Linked DNA regions of Neodiprion lecontei. The main gene of each other region encodes a partner of the protein of the gene in region 2 in a complex. Links are inferred from orthologs where the notes say so. Each region holds a gene or a part of one and is shown on either strand. Other genes may lie near its edges.

What was found.
Region 1: condensin complex subunit 1 (region 2) and condensin complex subunit 2 share a complex: the UniProt entries of both Homo sapiens proteins name them as parts of the condensin complex. The link is inferred for Neodiprion lecontei from reciprocal best matches to the Homo sapiens genes NCAPD2 and NCAPH.

What each region holds. Positions count from the first base shown.
Region 1 is NC_060262.1:1,186,624-1,192,777, forward strand, and holds the start of condensin complex subunit 2, read left to right. Parts: upstream 1-2,398; 5' UTR 2,399-2,668; intron 2,669-3,274; exon of another isoform or gene 3,275-3,400; intron 3,401-3,510; exon of another isoform or gene 3,511-3,571; coding exon of another isoform or gene 3,572-3,796; intron 3,797-3,907; coding exon of another isoform or gene 3,908-4,051; intron 4,052-4,126; coding exon of another isoform or gene 4,127-4,642; intron 4,643-4,749; coding exon of another isoform or gene 4,750-4,953; intron 4,954-5,021; coding exon of another isoform or gene 5,022-5,168; intron 5,169-5,342; coding exon of another isoform or gene 5,343-5,447; exon of another isoform or gene 5,448-5,637; intron 5,638-5,781; exon of another isoform or gene 5,782-5,889; coding exon of another isoform or gene 5,890-5,961; intron 5,962-6,034; coding exon of another isoform or gene 6,035-6,154. Other genes in the region: uncharacterized protein LOC107224625, read right to left, coding at 5,890-5,927, 6,035-6,154; SAFB-like transcription modulator, read right to left, coding at 495-519, 634-978, 1,089-1,252, 1,339-1,426, 1,928-2,050; CAAX prenyl protease 1 homolog, read right to left, coding at 3,572-3,796, 3,908-4,051, 4,127-4,642, 4,750-4,953, 5,022-5,168, 5,343-5,447. UniProt on the Homo sapiens protein: Regulatory subunit of the condensin complex, a complex required for conversion of interphase chromatin into mitotic-like condense chromosomes.
Region 2 is NC_060261.1:30,817,653-30,823,590, forward strand, and holds the start of condensin complex subunit 1, read right to left. Parts: upstream 3,380-5,938; 5' UTR 3,119-3,379; coding exon 2,995-3,118; intron 2,855-2,994; coding exon 2,720-2,854; intron 2,646-2,719; coding exon 2,470-2,645; intron 1,922-2,469; coding exon 1,776-1,921; intron 1,666-1,775; coding exon 1,584-1,665; intron 1,198-1,583; coding exon 1,135-1,197; intron 1,049-1,134; coding exon 815-1,048; intron 738-814; coding exon 405-737; intron 303-404; coding exon 134-302; intron 77-133; coding exon 1-76. Other genes in the region: transcription termination factor 5, mitochondrial, read left to right, coding at 3,625-3,894, 3,981-4,111, 4,259-4,586, 4,666-5,084, 5,196-5,420, 5,515-5,731. UniProt on the Homo sapiens protein: Regulatory subunit of the condensin complex, a complex required for conversion of interphase chromatin into mitotic-like condense chromosomes.

The DNA.
Region 1 (6,154 bases), on a different chromosome or scaffold from region 2:
GTATAAATAATGTAATTGTGTAAAATACTTAAAAGACTAGGGCAAACTTAGTTGCTATCACCTGCAGAGTAGGCAGAAAAAAAAAAAATATATTCGACTTCATATGCTAGATCATGATCCATATTATGAAAGCTGGTCGTTGGTTGATTTCCCATCAATAGAAGTTTCTTCTTTGCTGATCGGCTTGCAGGCGAAGAGTTCTTGCCAGCATCCCGTTGAGACAGTCTCAACCACCCAGATGATCGAAAGAACGTATGTATCCTCTCCAAATCCATAGGGCAATGTTGCAGGTTGTGCCATAAGCTTTTGCATCTCATGATGCTCGTCGCAGTTCCAGTAAGTTTCGGTGCAGGAATCTCAGTAACGAGATTTAGAGAGTTGGAAGAACGTCCGAATGATTTGATGATCGTAATTTTCTACGTCTTCGGAAGACTTATAACTAGTTCTCTTTACATTACAACTACTTAAATGTTACAACTGTGAATAAGACTTACCCTTGCGCCTGTCGTGAGTTTCCGTCTGAAAATAGAGCATGTCAAAATTTAGACTAGTCGATTGGAAATGTCAAAGAATTTGGATACAATTGTAAATGAATAACTACAGAAATCAACGAGGAGTAAACAGTAATCATACCTCTTCGGCAAGGAGATTCTCTTCGTCTTCGCCAATTGTCAGATTAATCGAGTCCTCGTTATCAATTCCGTTTGCTTCGACAGCGGTAGGATTGGACAGAACTGGTGGTGGGCTTGATTCAGTCTTAACAGTGTTATCGACATCATTTTTATCATTCTGATCCTCATCTGCTTCGTTTTCGATTTCTTCTTTTGGCTCTTCTTTTTTGACCTCTTCATTTTCAATATCTTCCTTCTTAGTAACCACTTTGTTCATGTCCTCCATCTTGATATCCTCTTTTTTGATATCTTCCTTCTTAATATCCACAGCCTTGACTCCTTCATTCACCTTGTCTTCTTCTTGTTCCTATTGAGTAAAATTGGTTATGCCAGTTTGCAGATGCGTTGAGGACTAAGATTGGCCAAAAATTATTTAAAGCATCAGTTTGAAAAATTCTATCTTGATTTCTATATCACCTTCTTAACTTCCTTCTTGACTACATTCTCAGAGATTTCTTCACTAGATGGGGGTGACGTCTCTTCTTTGATCTTCATTTCTGAGTTTGCTTGATTTTCCAAACTTTCATCTTTTCGATTATCAGACCCTTCCAAAGATTCTTCTTGGCCAGGTATGCCGGTTACTAAAAGTGCAAAGTGATCCCATGCAATAGTTACTTGAAATAAGGAAATAGACTGTAACAGCAGACATCAGGGCTAAAAATCTCACCACTGTTTTTTCTTGGTATAACCTTGTTAGGTCCACCACTCGGTACAATTAAATACTCGTCAGGTTTGCCTCCTTCCTCTGTGATCGCCTGTCAAAAATATCAAAGATACGTGATACAAACTATTTTGAAAAAAGGATAAACACCATTGTGTATCAACTTCGTCTCGAGGAGTGGGAAAATATTCAAGATAAACAGCACGTCGGGCCACGTGATGAACAAAATAATGACTCAACGAAGAGTGGGTAACAATCGTTGTTATTCAAATACGCGCTCATCGAGTGAAGAAACTGAGAAATCGAGGAGAAACACCGGGAACCATGGGAAAGTGGTTTATCTCTATAGGCGAAGACAGAAGTCCTGAGCAGAGGGAGTAAACGCCGGCTGTTATCGCGTTACGGCTGAAAATAGTTGAGGCAACACGAAAGGCGATAACGCATAATAACGAGACCGAGGTGACAAAAAAATCAATAGCATAAAAATGGCGTCTCACGCGTAACGTTTGCCGGACGATTCGTCATCCCACGCCCGATTTGATAATCGGTGTAGAGATTGGGGATCTTTATAATTTAATAGCAACTGTTCTTTTACCTTCGACAAGCGTTCGAGAAGAGCAGCTTTATTGCCAGTCTTGTCAAGCCCGCGTCTCTCCAGCTCGGTTTTCAGATCGATCACGCGTAGCTCGACCAACTTTTTCCCCTCTGTTTCGGCCATTGCTTGCAGCTATCCGTACAACTTTGAAAACGTACGCGGATGCTGATCTATACCGGAGTTTGATTAATGACGTGTCACGGTCTCGGATGTTGACGTTTCAACTTTTCTCTGTTATATCACCTAATTAATACTCTGTGCGGCATATCAATCTTGGCATATTACAATGGTGAGACACTTGTCGTTAACCCAAGATTGACACTGGCGGGCAGCGGTCACTAGTTCACGTAGTTCAGTGACAAACCGGAAACGGTGCCGTCGCCATTTAATACCTCGCGTTACGAACACGAGGCGTCACTAGTGCAGTGGAGTAGTATTTAACCTTGGAGCATGTACTATCTAGAGAGAGCAAACCATTCTCTCGACATCGCGAAAAATGCAGCCGAAGTGATGAGAGAGAGAGAAATATATATTAGGGTTACTCCGTCTCTTTCACTCTGCATTTGATGACTGAGAGAAAATGTATCGAGCAAACAAGAGTGGAGCAGGAGAAACAGATTGACATGTATGTCCACTGTATTTATGTAGAACTACATTTCAGTGAAAGCAACACGTACCTCTTTTTCTCACTTCTCCGCTGCACTTTCTGTACACGCGAAGCTACCTCCAGCAGCTCTAAAAGTAACGAAACAAAGTTTTTTGCTCGCTATTGGCATCCAATTTTCCAAACTGACATATAATCAATCTTTGAAAAAAGATAAGGAGAATTTCTCTTTACGTAATAAGATTAATTTATTGTACATACATACACAAAAAATATCGTACATTACGCAATAGAAGATATAATAATATAGGGTTCACAATGTAGATTTCACAATTCTAAGTCAAGAAATCTGACTACATCTGTATTTTGATTTTCGTAACAATGTACAAGATAGAACGTAAGTAAAAAAAGGGAATAGTGAGTGCTTCTTTCTGACGTTTATTAATTTATTTATCAAAAGTTTAATTTCTCTCGAATTGAATTTACTTCGCATATTGTGCGTGAAAAAAAGAAGAAAACACTTTTTGAAGAAATACAATATATCATGCATGCTGATCTCTTACATCTGGTAATCGTCTTCGGGTTATCGAAGCGTTTCATCCATTATTCATATTATTGGTACTAGTGCCCAGAGTTGCTTACTGGACGAACCAACACATGTTAAATATGTGAAGTAAAACTGAAACCTTATATTTTTTCGATGTATAAATCTAGGGTTGATTATCCTTTTGAAATTGTTTTTGACATTCTTATTATGATGCATGCTTTAAGCAACATGCGAGATGGTGTAAGTACAAATTCCTGTTCTTGCGATGCATTCGGCTATATCATTCCCATTGTCTCGTCTCGTTCCGCTTTTCTGCGATTGTCTGAAAAAAAAAAAAAAAACATTCTTTCACCTCCAGATTTAATTAAAAGAAATTTCAAAACTTTCCATTAAAATCTAAGGTTGAAAACTGTTTTGCTGTATTAAAAATACCTCGTGATTGATTCAGTGGCGGCAATAGCAGCAGCATGCTCAAGACGTGAAAGCGAATTATCTAGTTGGATTTTTTGTCATCCAGAGCTTCTAGTCGCTCAAGTAACGGGGGATGAGAGTGATGCCATCCTGAATAGAGCTTGTCAAATACAGGAAAACCCAGATTGTCTTTGTGCAATTTAACTAGTGCACTTTTCAGGGGGACAGTGTGTCCTAAGGTCTTTGCAAAATTATCTGCTTGAAATTCAAACTTCCGGCTGATCACAACGGAGACAAAGCCCATTAACTGAAAAAAGTACATTTGGACCAGGTGTGAATGAAGTCGGAAAAGAAAAAGGATTACGAGAGAGGTTAATGAGATTAATATCAAACGACAGAAAATAATCGAATTAGTTACCGTATTTAGCGGGATCAGGATGTACATCATTACGATAATTAATCCAATGAATATTGGCTGCGAATCGCTGAATCCGAATGCAGTGTACATTGGTTGATAGTTGAGCAGTTTAGCAAAGATAATGAATATTAATAGAATGTTGACCTGTAATCAAAGAATGCACGATCAAAATTAGAGCGAGCTGTGAAAGAGAAATACCTAAATACACTTTAGTCTTACCTGAGACAGTACAAGACACTTGAAGGTGTGATTCAACTTCCAGTGACCAAGTTCGTGGGCTAAAACGGCCACGACTTCGTCAGTTTCACAACCTTTGTCTTTATCGGTGTCATTGGCGTCTGGTTTATAATATTCTTTGACCAGGGTGTCGAATAGGACAATTCTCTTGTGCTTGTGAAAACCGTAAAGGTACGCATTGCTGTGAGAGGATCGTTTGGATCCTTCAACAATGTACAATTTGTACAAGGGAAAACCAAGGGATGATGCGAGCTCTTCAATTTTTGTTCTAAGCTCTCCTTCGGGCAACGGAGAGTACTTGTCAAACAATGGAGCTATAACCTCTGGGTATATAATCAGCATAAACAGAGTTACAATGCCGGTAAAGACCCACAGATATACAAAGAAATAATCTCCTCCTATTTGAACTATCCAAACTACTCCGCATTTCAGCGGAATCACAATTATTTGTAGCACGATAAATTTCTTTATCTGGTCCTTTATATAGAATGAAACAGTCTGAAAAAGGATAAATATTTTTATTGCTTGTGAATTCAGATGAAACGTAGCACAGCTTTTGGAGCACATTTGTCAAGCTTGACTAGTTATTTTATAAACATTCTTACCTGCTTATTGAACCCGTGCTTGTTTTCAAGCCAGAATGTATTGTAGACAGAAAATGGCAGGTCAACGATAGTGCTAAGGATGTTCATGATCAGCATGCAAGTACCGCCAATCAGTATTTCGTTATGCTTGCTAATTCCGCACGCGGTAGAAATTTTCACCGCCCAATCCCAAAAATGACGGAAGGCAAAAAACAGTATCATCCCCTGAAGATGATGAGTTTTAGATGCATGAACAACCAGAAGACAAATTAAAATTGCTTGCTTATACCCACCGTGGTGACGAATGTCGAAAACAGACTTTTGATGTTTGAAAAATAATTGCAATCGATGGCGTAGAGGCGTGCCTTATTATAAACCTCCGGCGTGATGAGGTCCTTCAGTTCGCCAGGGACGTCAACAAGTTTGTTCATTAACTTTGTCTGCAGGGAATAATCATGCAAATCATTTTAAGAGACTGAGGATCCAGTCACCCTTGGAATGCTTTGAAAAAACTGTTCCTAAGGGTGATGAATTTAATTTGAGGGTGGTACCGCATTGCGTGTCACTTAATAAGTCGAAAAATTGGGAGGTATAAACAGGGACTGAAAGCTAACCTGGCGAAGACTGAGATAAAACTTCCAGGACCAGAGAATCCATATTAACGCGAGCAGCTCGCATCTCAGGTTTTCTCCAACGAATTGTTCAATGGAAGATGACATGGCTGTTGTAGTCGTCTAAAAAATCTCTCCGAATTACTCTTGGCGTAAAAAGGACGACACACTGTGTTTCGCTGGTCTCATGTGTGTTCCCGGCCTATAGTCTCAAACACTAATATATATCAGTGTCAGTGGTCTCAAATCACAAATTGGAATGAATGATGCGACAGTAGACAGACTTGAAGTTGTCTCTCTCGATTTTCGATATATCCAACGTCTTGATCCAAAGATGTCGCGGGAAATTTGAATTCGACGTAGTCGCAACGTTTGGGCGGTCTGAATTCAATAATCTCGACATATTACAGGAAGTTAATGAACAAAAAAAACTGTAATGATGTTGTCTTTGTTTTTTTTTTAATTCGATGCAAAACACTTATCATAATATCATCCAAAATATACAATAGTACACATCTTTTCTTCTTTCATCGATTCATGATTGTTCTACCGGCGTTTCGTGTTGCACGTTAAACTTTTTTTGTTTACCTGGAAGCAAACGATCGGAAGCTGAGAATGTGGTCTGTGAAACACATCATACATGAAAACATTGGCTGCTTTAGTGTGAAGTGATTGAAAGAAAAATTGGTTTTTACCGCGCTTTGTGTCGACGTGGTTAATGCCTGCGGAACGCTCGATTGCAGCACTCTGCAAAGTCCTTCCACGGCCTGGCAAACCTCCTCTTCCGCGACCTCGTGCACGGCCCTTTCCACGTC
Region 2 (5,938 bases):
TGAAAAAGTAGCTGTCTCAAATTTTCAAAGCGAGAATCCAGTTCAGAAAGAATATCCTCCTCGCATTCCATGTGCTCTGTAAGATTAGCCACCTTTATAAAGGGCCAGAAAAATACATTTGATAGGGTATTACCTTCGACACATATGTTTGATATAGCACTTTGGATGCTTGGGGCAAGCGCATTCCAAATGTCTACTCTAATCTTCGCTCCTGGTTCACTAATACTTGCAAATCTTATTCTCAGAGTCTTGAGTTTTTTCTTTGCATCTGCCAACTGCTGTGTCAACTTGTCTAAGTTGAACTGGAAAGAACGAATATTAATACAAGTAAAGTAATGATTAGATCATCTATCAAAATCAGTGTTATGTTAGGCAATGGAAGACAGAAGACAAGAGAAACTTACTTTTCCAGCAAATGGATTGCACTGCAACAAAGTTCTGAGTAATTGAAAAGCATATTTGCGAACAATCGCGTTTTTATCATTTAATCGGTGAATTACCGCCGTAAGAAGAGCGTTTTGATTTACTAAGGGCACGGCACCTTCTGTGCAAAGATATTGCCAGACCTGAAGAGTCTTGGATCTAACAAACGCGTTTGTGTCCAACAAATGATCCATAAGGTTCTCCAAACACTCGTCTCGTGTTGTCTTCTGATCTTCAGATAGATCTTCAGACGTTAGAATCTCTTTCACTATCGTTCCCAGTATACCAATCACACAGTTTCTCATTAGGTAGCACTATAAAGCAAAGAAAGTGTTGCACGAAATCTGAACATAGAAAATTCACCAATCATTTACACTGATCTCTGTTATACCTCATTTGCAAGATGGTCAGTCAAGTTGCTAACAGCTGGTAATATGAGGTTTGGTTTTGACGAAGCAATTGCGTCAAGGAAAGTCGCAATGTTACGCGTCCCCCCTTCCTCTGGGGTTGCTCGGTCAACTTCACGCAGTATCTCCTTAATGATACCGGTGCATTTGGTTTGTTCAATAACTTCTATTATACCAGTTGCCAAATACACTGCTAGTCCATCGCACATTTTGACCAACTAATTCCGAGGAAACATTTTTTCATCAGGATTAACTGCATACTTCTAGTTAACTTGAGGTAAAGAATTTTCTTTAGGCTACTAACCTGAACTACTTTTATTACAAAGGATATACTATGGTTGTACCGCTTTACTAGAGTCCCCAGTATCTGAAATAAATGAGATTAGACATTGCCAGTGATAATTAGTATTCAGAACTGGAATCAGATTTAAAATTTTCAAATAGTAGGTATAGCAGAGAAAATTAAACCTGCAAATCTAGAGTTTCTATACAAAATTTCATAAGAGCTTATTTTTTCAATAGACTTTACGAAACTCATTATTCACTGTAGCTGGTAGAAAATTGAAAAAAAATATTTTCAGCAATTCGTCAAAGATATAATGAGCATTTAATAAAGTAGGGGTAAGTGATTGAAATATTTCTATGTTATGCCAAAGACTCCATAACTTTCAGAATATATTCAGTAACAGTGAATACCTGGTTTACAGGTTCTTTAAGCATTGAATTAATTGTATATTGTCCATGAAAACTCACTTGGAAGATTGATTCCCGCACAGATTTGTCTTTGACATTTTTGCATCTTTCTAGAACCCTGTAGCATATTTCTGAAATGCACCTAGACAATAAAAGATTTTAGAATATACAATTGGTTCTCTAACAAGACATGCTTAGAGTTTTCATTTTTTTCGGAGTTTCCAAATAAACCTGTGACTAAGAAATACTAACTTGATAAAACTCCCATCAGCTATTGGCGGTTGCCAAAGTTTTTCAAGTGGCAATTGTATCCAGTGATATATCTGTACCAAAATTTCATCGATTTGATCATACCACTTGAGTTCCCAATCCGTTTTCGATGATACTTTCTTCCGTTGCTAAAGCAAAATTTCAAAGACAAACAAGAGATTAAAAACACAATAACTGAGCGATTGGATGTAGATGCAGATTACATAAAAACAAAAACTTATGCAAGATATAAAACATAGCAGTCATTTGTAAATTGCCTAACTTAATAAAATGACGTCTAACGCTTCTTTGGAAGATAATCAAGGTGAACGATATATTAATTGCTAAATAACTAAAATAATAACGAAAATAAAAGAGACTAAATTTTGAGTCATTTCCATGTTCTACACATCAGGGTTTACAAGCAGAATTAATAATCTTGTGGCTTCTTTGTATTATGATTTATTAATATAAAGATTAAGAAAAGAAATTTTAACCTATTACGTTTAAATTTTGTGATTTCAAGTTTCTTGAAAGAAATCGTTGCTATGTTTGTGGTACTGTGGGTTGCTGCTACATTTAAATAGTTTTTTATAATCAGACAACAAACCAGAGTACTATTTCATATTTTACCCTTACTGTTTTTATAATAATGTTTTTGTGAGAACGTTTTGAAATTGTAGAAATCGTTTTTCACCTTTGAACTTCCGCCAGCAGATTCTTCAGACACAACAATCTCGATGTGACGAATTAAACTAGACAACAGGTAAGCGAGCATATTGGTGATGGTAAGCAGTTGTGGTTTATCTTCTGCCGCTGGTTCTCTTCCTCTGTCGTACTGCTTTTCTAATTCGTTTGTAAACATTTTAAGGCCTGAAAAGTAACAAGTAAAACATGTAAAGAATTATGTTTTGTTGTGTAAAAGTTGTGAAAGTTGAAATACTTACATTTGTGGATTCGATCAACTGCTAAAAGGTGAACAGGTATTTTTAAATTTGAGCCGTGCACGAGAACAGAGAAGAATTTGTCGAAGTGTTCGAGCAAGAAGCTGGGCCCCTCCTCCTGCAGGATAGCATTTGTATCTGAAATAGTAATTACAGCGGTGGACTATCAAGTAATAGAATTATCACAAAATTACAGCAACAAACAAGACAGAAAAAAAACCAAAACCCGGAATGAATATTTAATAGTGGAATTTGACTAAAATATAATGATAACATACCAGCAAGAATGTTTTGTATGTCCCGAAGCGGATATACATTTCTAACGGAGTATTTTCCCGGCTGGGTCTGAAGAAGTTGATCCTTGTCGGACGGTATCACAAATTCGGGCATGGCGCTCCGCATTTTAGAATAGAATTATTTACTCAGAGTTTCACTGACATTTCACACGTTGTTGATACACGCGTTACTGATGGCGTTCTTAGTTCGCAATTGATGTAACGGCGGAATTTTGAATCTAGTGACGCCAACATCACACTGCCGGTTATCGCTGCTCAAATAGCCGACAACAATGTATGTTTGGGTCTGCAGAGTTGTCTACACTGTTTTCCGCTTAACTGCACTCACCTTCAGAGTACTTGAGCTTGTAAGAACTTCACCGTGAAGTACGCTCCTTACCATTGATGCGTTAGAAAGAGACATGTCTTTGTCGACGAAATTGGACAAAATACTCCAATCACGTCTCCGTTCACCGTCGAACACAGGGAACGTCTGAATTACCGACCAATACTTGGCCCGCCGAATATGGTTACTCGAGGGCATCACGAAAGAACGATACCTGAAGTATCAAGCGTAACACCGGTGCGGCATTAAATCACGGATGGAATAGATTCAGAGATGAAAATAAAATCATGCTGAGATTTACTTTGAAAAATTGGCTTACAAATAATCAACAGTGTTTAAAAACGACTATCTTCCATGTGACAAAGATGACACAGATCTCAGCAACGATAGAAAATCAATGCAATAATTCAACAACTAATGCCACAGTAGAAAAGATGAAATTTTTGGTTAAGTTATTGAAAATTGACACAAGAGAAGCACGGCATTATTTAAAGGCAAATCAACTCTTGCGCATGGTTCCAAACGAACAAATCGCCGAAACCTACGCACTTTGCTTGGTGAGTATGAGCGACAAGATTAATAAATAAAAAGACGATAAGTACCGTATATTGATTCATATTAAAAAGGCAAATACCACACACAGAAATATGGAATTGGCAACGAAGTGAAGGACATTATAGGAGTAATATCTCTCAAAGCATCCACTTTGGAGCGAAGAATAACTTACTTTCAAGAATTGGGTTGCACAAAATTATTAGCAAACATATTAAAACCGTAAGTAAATACTTGAGAATGTGACAATATGCAACTTTCATTATGACTTCATTCGAATCACTTGATAACGCGAGTAAATACCTTAAACTATTAACTATTAATGTCTGTTATATCAGAAGTTCTCACCCTCAGTCTTGTGTATTCCAGTTTTATGACAGGCTGTGAATACAGTCTTCAACAATTTCAGGACTGGAATCTGCTACCGGCTGATGTTGACATTGCGAAAAATATTTTCAGTGTTCTCAATAAACCACCGCCAGATGTTCCATGCTTAGATTCACTAAAAAAAAGTAATTCTATTCACACATATCGCTCCATTTGCCTAGAGCATTATCTCAAGTGGCGGCTGGAGTACACTGAAAAGGAATTGAGTAAATTAACAGCAGTTATACAAAAGTTTCGTTATTTCTCTATAAGATCGATCGAAGAAGTAATCGACTGTCTAGAGAATGAACTCGAATTTTCTAAAGCTAAGGTAACGTCAATTTTGAATTATTTTTCGGGTATCATTAGTAATTGTTTATAGTAAATAATTATATTTATGTTTTCCATAGATAAAGCAAGCTAATTTTCTACTTCGTGCAGACGCAACAAATATCAAGCAGTTACTGACGACGTATAAACAAGTTGCTGGCAGTGATATGAAGCCTTTGTTAATTAAAAATCCAAAACTTTTGGACGTAAAGGCAGACCTGATCCCTGCAAGGTTAGAGATTCTTAAAAAACACGGTGTGACAGAATCTGCGCTAAAAGTATATCCTACTATATTATTGCTCTCGAAGGAAACCATAGAATCTAGACTGAAAGAGATACAGAGCATACCGGAATTAAGAGGTTTTTTGGATCATCAACGCTTATTGCTCTTAATTCTATATTTACGAAAAGCAAAAGATCGTTTACAGTTCATGAAAGAGCATAATGTGAAGAGCATCAGCCTTTTTACGCTTAGCTCTAGTTCCGTTTATTTCAATAGGTTAGTGAAATAATTCGTTCTTCATCACTTTTTCACTATCAAAGTTTACTCCGTTATTCTTAATATAAAAAGAATTCTTTATTTCTCTGCTTTTTTATTTCATTTTTGAAGACAACTTGAAGAGGGACTTGTACGAGCTAAAGGTACAGACTTGTTACAATTTTTGAGTAAAAACACAGGCGCCTCTCAAGCTTCTATTCACCGGTCCCTACAGAAGAATTCAATGTGGCTTCATGCACCATTTATTCACGTGGTGGATACATATTTTTATTTAATAGAAAGAAATTATACCAACGAAGATATTCTGAATAATGTTCATATTCTACTCTACAAAAGGTAAGACGATGTTTTTTCGTGATTAGAATTAAGAAAAATTCAAACTTTGTATCTTTCTTCACTGTCAAAATTAATTATTTTTTTTATTCAACAGTTCACGTGTTGAACAAGTGCTGGAAAAAATTGAATCCGACGAATCCGAGAAATCTAATAATTGGAGTCCTAGTCAGAAACTTGCTTTGTGTGTTTATTATATTGAAAAAAAATTTCATTTTTCCGGGCTCGGTGTATTAGAGGATACGCCCGAACAGCATTTACTGACGTCGGATCAAGTAACAAAAAACCAGGTTTTGAAAGAAGAAGGAAAATAGACAACTGGTTTCGTAGTTATTATACCATTAAATCTACTTTCGTATCGGTTGTTTATAGACAAAAATTCGAGATGTTGAGTCTTACGTAATTAATGGCATAATTCCCGTGATTTTTGATTTTTGATCAAACTTTTTCCTCCCACCTGTTCGACCATCATCCAGAAATTTGTGTGAATAATGCTATAGATTCAAGTTCCGACTGTACAA